Sus scrofa: one gene and its partner. The protein of the gene in region 1 interacts with the protein of each later gene in a pairwise test. Links are inferred from orthologs where the notes say so. Each region holds a gene or a part of one and is shown in the gene's direction. Other genes may lie near its edges.

Region 1 (3,645 bases):
AAATGTTTTTATACAGGTAATATTACATGCAAAAGAAATTATTTTGTGACTTGTCATTGCTCAGTAATCTATTGAGATTTCTTCTTTTCAATTAATTTATATAATTTGCTTATTAATAATTGCCTGAGACAAGCCCATTATTTGGCTTTTGGAGATTTTTAGGTTTTTTAAGTACATAGGAGTTGTTTGTTAGTGAAATCAATTTACAGATTTTTTTTTTCCGTAATTTCTCCTCTTTGACGCTTAGGAAGCCTGTCCACCCATAAAAAAAAAAACCTATTTATTTATTTATTTGTCTTTTTGCCTTTTCTAGGGCTGCTCCCTTGGCATATGGAAGTTCCCAGGCTAGGGGTCTAATCGTAGCTGTAGCTACTGGCCTCCACCACAGCCACAGCAACTCAGGATCTGAGCCACATCTGCGACCTACACCACAGCTCACGGCAACGCCGGATCCTTAACCCACTGAGCAAGGCCAGGGATCAAACCCACAACCCCACTGTTCCTAGCTGGATTCATTAACCACTGAGCCACGATGGGAACTCCTTTATTTATTTATTTATTTATTTAATTTTTGTCTTTTTTAGGGCCACACTCTCGGCATATGGAAGTTCCCAGGCTAGGGGTCGTTTCGGAGCTATAGCTGCTGGCCTACAACATAGCCACGGCAACTTGGAATCCAAGCTGCATCTGTGACCTACACTATAGCTCACAACGCCGGATCCATAACCCACTGTGCAAGGCCAGGGACTGAACCTGCGTCCTCATAGATCCTAGTCAGGTTCATTACCACTGAGCCACAACGGGAGCTTCAAAAACAAATCTTTCTTTATAGATCACTTAAAGTGAAACTACAACTAAGATGCTTGGATGATTTTTTTTTTCTAAAAAATTGTGGATGAGTTGAGCCCAATCTAATAACCATCTAGTGCACTGACCTCAGAAATGGGGTTTTCTGTTCTAGGACCCAGGATATCTATTAATAACTGTCCAAAAAGAAACCTTCCTGTGCAGAGGGGCTGCCCCGAGCATCCAGAGCCACGATGGAAGAGGAAGCAGGTGAGGCCCCGGGGCTGGGCAGGCCCGCTGCTCCTAAGGATTTCCACTTTTATCACGTGGATCTGTACGACTCTGAAGACAGACTGCAGATCTTCCCGGAAGGAAACGCTCGGATGCGAAGAGAGGTAGTCCAGGCTGAAATGACCAACGAACCAAGAGCAGCCGTGAAAGGGAAGGCTCCGAGAGACCTTGAAGAAGAAGTGGATGAACTTGTCCATCTTTACGGACTTGAAGATGATCATGAATTAGGCGATGCATTCGTTGACGAAAGCATGCCCAGAATAGAGGTTTCAGAGTATCCTCCTTATGGGATGACGGGGAGAGAAGCAGCCAGGGAGCAGAGAGACTGGAGACTTAGCGGGGAGGAGGCTAATGCAGAGGACCTGGGCTTGGGGGGCTGGGGCTCGGCGGACCAGTGCCAGGACTTGCGGGAAGCCTATAGGTATACCCATGGCCGTGCCAGTGAGGAGTATGAATGCTACGTCATCCCAGAGGAGGAAGACGAGGATGAAGCTGCGGATGTCTTCTGTGTCACCTGCAAAACACCAGTCAGAGCTTTGGAGGTTTCTGATGAACACAAGGAACATGAGGTAACCCCACTCCATAAAGCACTGGAAAGCGCCAAGGTAAATAGATCTCCTTAGTTCTTCTTGCTCTTGATATTGCATTTCTATCTCAAGGGTGTAGGGAGGATATGAATCTAAAATGCCTTCCACTGTAGTTCCCATTGTGGCTCAGGGGAAACGAATCCAACTAGAAACCATGAGGTTGCGGGTTCTATCCCTGGCCTTGCTCAGTGGGTTAAGGATCGGGCGTTGCCATGAGCTGTGGTGTAGGTCACATACATGGCTCAGATCCTTTGTTGCTGTGGCTGTGGCATATGCCAGCAGCTGTAGCTCCAATTCGACCACTAGGCTGGGAACCCTCATATGCTGTGGGTGCAGCCCTAAAAAGCAAAAAAATAAAAATAAAAATAAAATGCCTTCTACAAAAGAGAGAGAGAAAAGACAGAGCATTAATGCCTTCTTGGGATCCTTTGTTTAATAGGACGAAATTCACAAAAACATGTACAAACTGGAAAAGCAGATTATTGAGATGGAAAATTTTGCAAGTCACTTGGAGGAGGTTTTCATCACTGTGGAGGTAAGAGCACACCTGACGACGCTGTCAGACACACATGTCATTTCCATCGGGGGTGGGGTCAGCAGCTGTGTCTGGCACCAGTTAGAGAATCTGTTTTCTTGGAATGTATCGAGTCAGTACTGCCCCTCTCCCCTCACCCTTCTTTCTGCCCTCCCGTAGCATGGTGGGCGTATACCTATGGCAACATTCCCTAATGAACTGTCAGCTCTCCTGGGGAGGCTGAGTCTTCGATGTCTTTATATCCCCATTCCTGCTATAAGGTTGGACTCTTTCATGGCCAGCCTATTAAGGCATTGCAAGACACCCAGGCTGTTATGACTAAGTGTTCTTTTCCTTTCTTTACCTATTTCTTCCAAGATTAATAATGTTTCTGTGGAGTTCCCGTCATGGCGCAGTGGTTAACGAATCCGACTAGGAACCATGAGGTTGCAGGTTTGGTCCCTGCCCTTGCTCAGTGGGTTAAGGATCCAGCATTGCTGTAAACTGTGATGTAGGTTGCAGACGCGGCTTGGGTCCCGAGTTGCTGTGGCTCTGGCGTAGGCTGGCAGCTACAGCTCTGATTAGACTCCTAGCCTGGGAACTTCCATATGCCGCTGGAGTGGCCCAAGAAATAGCAAAAAGACAAAAAAAAAAAATAATAATAATAATGTTTCTGTGCTGGCACCAAACACATTCCCTGGGTGTGCCCAGGAAGTGTATACACTGCTGTGTGTGCACTGCCAGCACTCAACCTAGCCATCCAGATGGACAGACCAGGACTAAGGACCATAGGACTTCCTGTGTCCCCTCTCTTCACAGGGATGCTCTACTTCTATGAAGGCAGCCTTGGGGTGTATCAACCGGAGCACCTCACGGAGCCCTGGGCCCCTTTCCCCTGAAGCTAGACTTTCCTCCCCATCCCAACCTTCTAACTTTTTTTTGTCTTTTGTCTTTTTAGGGCCGCACCCATGGCATATGGAGGTTCCCAGGCTAGAGGTCGAATTGGAGATACAGCCCCTGGCCTATGCCACAGCCACAGCAATGCAGGATCTGAGCCGTGTCTGTTACCTGTGCCATACCTCATGGCAATGCTGGATCCTCAACCCATTGAGCAAGGCCAGGGATGGAACCCACGTCCTCATGGGTACTATTCGGGTTTGTTAACCACTGAGCCATAATGGGAACTCCCCACCCCCAATCTTAAAAGGGAGGAGAACTATTGCACTAATTCCCTATGGAAGGCAGAGGAAGGTCAAACCCTTCCATGTCTAAGCACAGGCGGATGGAGGTAGAAGGGTAAGTAGACAACTCCCTTGCTCAGTACTGCCAGCTCGCTCTCAGCTCAGAGCACCTCCACCCTCAGTGAGGACTCTGAGCTCTTCCTCGTAAACTCTACCCTGGGGGGCATCTGCTGCTTTTCCCTTTCTTCCACCATTCTGTGCAAGTCTTATACACACAGTAGGTGCT
Region 2 (3,740 bases), about 29 Mb from region 1:
TCTGGGTGGTGCCCACTCTGGGCACTGACCGCCTCCTTCTTGCTCTCCTCCTTACCCTCTACCTGGGCCTGGCTCACGGACTTGACCAGCAAGACCTCCGCTACCTCCGGGCCCAGCTGCAAAGAAAACTCCACCTGCTCTCCCGGCCCCAGGATGGGGAGGCTGAGTGAGAAGCTAACCCTGGTTCCAAGCCCTACACTTCCTCTCCCTCCAATTCCAAACCCCTTCTCATCCAGGACCTGTCTGCTTCAGACCAGAGACCCAAATCCAAGGACTGAAGGACCTGTCCCTTCCCCTGCTTAAGCCTCTCCTTCTTGGGTCCAGCTCTAGACCCTAAATTGAGTTTCAGCTACTGGACGCCAAGGTCCACTTCTCACCAGCCAGGAAGAGGGAGTGGGAAACTTTATCTTTCTCCTCATAGTTTAGGGCTTGACCCTCCGTTTACAACCTCCTTACAAGGAGAAGGGCCTGGCCTGACCAATCCCCTGGCCCTGTTACTCGCCTCTGCGCCTCAGGGATTCTCTTCCCACATCTTGCTCCACCTCCTAGAAGCTGGACCAAGGTCTGCAAGTTTGACAATAGAGGCTGCCCCCCACCCCCCCACCCCAGGCTCCAGGCCTTGCAGCTGCAGGCCAGCCCCACCGCCTGGCCTCTCCAGCTCCATAGGCCCTTGCCCTTGGGCTCTATCCTCGAACTTAGTTGGGCAGATTCTCCCGCTCTTAATTCAGGTGACTAAGTGCTCCCTGCTCTCCCGAGGAACTCGCGCTACAAGAAAATAAAATCCAGCCTGGTTTTTCTACATGTAGCATGCAGTCTGTCCAGTGCCTCTCAAGCTGCAGGGCTGATTCTGGGAAGGACAGGCGAGCCAAGCCCGAGTCAAGGCATCCGCCGCGCCCTCTGGCGACCGCTGGGCGGCGGCCACTCCCAAAGGACCCACCCCTCCTTCAAATCCCCCAATTTCCTCGCTGCAGATTTGGGGGCCCCGGCAGGAGACAGGTTGAAGCTGAAGAGTGGGGACAGCGGCTCGGGTAAGAAAGCGAGCTTCCGAAACCTTTGGCTTCCGAGCACAGCTCCTGCCGATGCCCCACCACCGCCACCACCACGGGCCCCCCGTAGCCCTGCGGCCGCCCCGGCCCCCACACTAACAAAGGCTGGCCGGGGAAAGCAAAAGCGTGGGGAGGAGCGGCAGGAGATGGGAAGGGCGGGCCCCGCTCAGAGCAGCTGCTGCTTCCTCCCCAAGTCCCTCGAGGGGCCTGAGTCACGGGCCGCCGCCCTGGGTCGGCGAGCTGGGGGCGGGGGGTCTGGACACCTGGGTTATCCCGGGTTACCGGGCGGGAGCCGGGTGAGAGGCCCTGGGGACAGACAGCGTAAAGGCCAGGGCTTGCGGCGGGAAAAGAGGTGTCCGGGAGCCCAATCCCACGCGGGGTCGAAGAGGGCGAGGCTCCGCCCCCTAGTCCGGCTCCGCCCCGCGCCCCCTTCGCTCTTCCCCATTGTCCTCAGACAAAGCGGTCGCCGCCCCCCGCCCGGCCCCCAGGTCTCTGTCTCCGTTCCTCCTCCTCCGCTCCCTCTTTCCCTCCTCCTCCCCCTCCCTCCTCCCCTCCCGCCTGTCTCCGGATCTCCCTCGATCCCTCTCTCCTCCTCTTCCTCTCTCCTCCTCTCTCCGGACACCAGGCTCCTCCGCACCCCCGCCCCCGGGAGCCCCGCGGCGAGTGAGTTGACGGAGGGGCTTCAGACTTGGGGAGGGTGTCTCCTCTCTCCCGTCCCTTCTCCCGTCCCCGGCCCGGACCTTGGGCTGTCTCCTCTTTGTGCCGAGATTGCCTGTCTGTGCGGCCAGAGCCGGCTGGGGATGGCCGGCTATGTCGGGGTTCCGTGAGAGCCGATACCGGGCACGGGACTGGCAGGCTCCGGAGGCGTGGAGCTGGTCCTTCGCATGCCTGGGTCCCGGGGCACCGCCGGTGCAGGAGGCAGGCGGTGGTACGGGGACCGGGTGGGGGTGGACGCCAGGGTTCTGGGAATGTGCTGGCAGGTCTGACGCCCGGGTTCCGAAAGTCCCCGGGGGAGGGTATTTCCCCTGACCCGCCTCGGGGCGGAGTGCGGGGCGGGGGGTGGGGGCTGGGGGGCCGGAGAGGCGTGGCCCGAGCGGAGCTGGAAGGGGAGCCCGGACCTCCGGGGCCCGTGCTGAGACTCGCCGGGCTGCAGCCGCGGAGCTCCCTCACCCCTCTGCCCCGATTTCCCCTTCTCCCCAGGACTCGTCCACTCTCCGCCCTCCCACCTTCCCGACACCCGTGCAGATCCCACTGCCCCCTCTCCGGCGGGATTCCCTGACCTCTCCTCCAGCTCTCAGCGCTCCTGGGTAGCGGTGAGGCAACCTTGCCTGGATCCTGTTCCCGTCACCCCCAGCCTCTCTTTTCTCTTCCTCCCTCGCGCCAACTTCTTTCGTTTTTCAGTCTTCTCACATCCTCGGGACTGTCTGATGCCCATTAACCTGTGCTGACAAATCTGACTCCTACCTCTGCCCTGAATCTCCACTCTTCCTCTCAACTCCCTCCCCCCACCCCCTCTACCTGGCTCTTAGTTCCTTCTTCGCGTTCTCAGTGTTCCCCCTTTTCTGCCCTCCCTCTTCTCCCTCTTTCCCTCTGTCCTTCCTCACTCTCAGCTCCTCTGTCCTCTTCCGAGTCCCACCTCTCCCCCCACTTCCTCTCCGCCCACCCCTATTCTCACCCCCTGGGCCTTTCTGGAGCCTCTCCTTCCTGTTCTCTGCCCCCAGCGCTCCCCCACCCTCCCCAAGTCGACCATGGCCACCATCCCGGACTGGAAGCTACAGCTGCTAGCCCGGCGCCGGCAGGAGGAGGCAGCCGTTCGTGGCCGGGAGAAGGCAGAACGGGAACGGCTGTCCCAGATGCCAGCCTGGAAGCGGGGGCTTCTGGAGCGCCGCCGAGCCAAGCTTGGTCTGTCTCCTGGGGAGCCTAGCCCTGCGCCTGGGACTACGGAGGCTGGACCTCCAGACCCAGACAAGTCTGCCGTCCTCCTGGAGGCCATTGGGCCAGTGCACCAGAACCGCTTTATTCGGCAAGAGCGCCAGCAGCAGCAGCAGCAGCGGAGTGAGGAGCTACTTGCGGAAAGACGGCCTGGGCTCTTGGAGGCCCGGGAGTGGAGATCCAGCCCTGGGGAGATGAGGGATCAGAGCCCCAAGGAAAGAGAGTCTAGAGAAGAGCGGCTCAGTCCCAGGGAGGCCAGAGAGAGGAGGCTGGGGATAGGGGGAGCTCGAGAGTCAAGCCCCAGGCCTTTGGAGTCTAGGGACTGGAGGCAGAGCCCAGGAGAGGCTGGAGACCGGAGCTCCAGGCTGTCAGAGGTGCGGAAATGGAGGCTGAGCCCTGGAGAAACTCCGGAGAGGAGTCTAAGACCTGCAGAGCCTCAAGAACAAAGCCCCAGGAGAAAAGAGGTGGTGGAAAGTAGACTGAGCCCGGCGGTCTCTGACCACGAGAAGCTGGGCCTGACAGACGCCCATAAACGGAGGCCTGACTCCGGAGAGTCTCAGGAACAGAGTCTGGTGCTGGAGGCATCAGAGTGGAGGCTGAGCTCAGGAGAAGAAAGAAAAGACTGCTTGGAGGAATGTGGGAGGAAAGAAGAGAGGACACTTCCAGGGATGGTCCCAGAAGACATTACAGGGTCGCCAGAGACCCTGACAATGGAGGCTGCAGGCAGCAGCTCTGGAGGAGTGGAGGCAGCAGACCAGAGGC

The links. The genes of interacting proteins can lie anywhere in the genome.
Region 2: the proteins of FSD2 (region 1) and PPP1R18 interact in binary tests that used the Homo sapiens proteins (3 or more experiments, as listed by UniProt). The two-hybrid records come from large-scale screens. The link is inferred for Sus scrofa from reciprocal best matches to the Homo sapiens genes FSD2 and PPP1R18.

Annotation. Positions count from the first base shown.
Region 1 is NC_010449.5:52,164,956-52,168,600, forward strand, and holds part of FSD2 (fibronectin type III and SPRY domain-containing protein 2), read left to right. Parts: intron 1-961; 5' UTR 962-1,040; coding exon 1,041-1,682; intron 1,683-2,103; coding exon 2,104-2,199; intron 2,200-3,645.
Region 2 is NC_010449.5:23,219,370-23,223,109, reverse strand, and holds the start of PPP1R18 (phostensin), read left to right. Parts: upstream 1-814; 5' UTR 815-1,028; intron 1,029-1,647; exon of another isoform or gene 1,648-1,709; intron 1,710-1,725; exon of another isoform or gene 1,726-1,974; intron 1,975-2,246; exon of another isoform or gene 2,247-2,767; 5' UTR 2,768-2,794; coding exon 2,795-3,740. Other genes in the region: NRM (nurim), read left to right, coding at 1-170.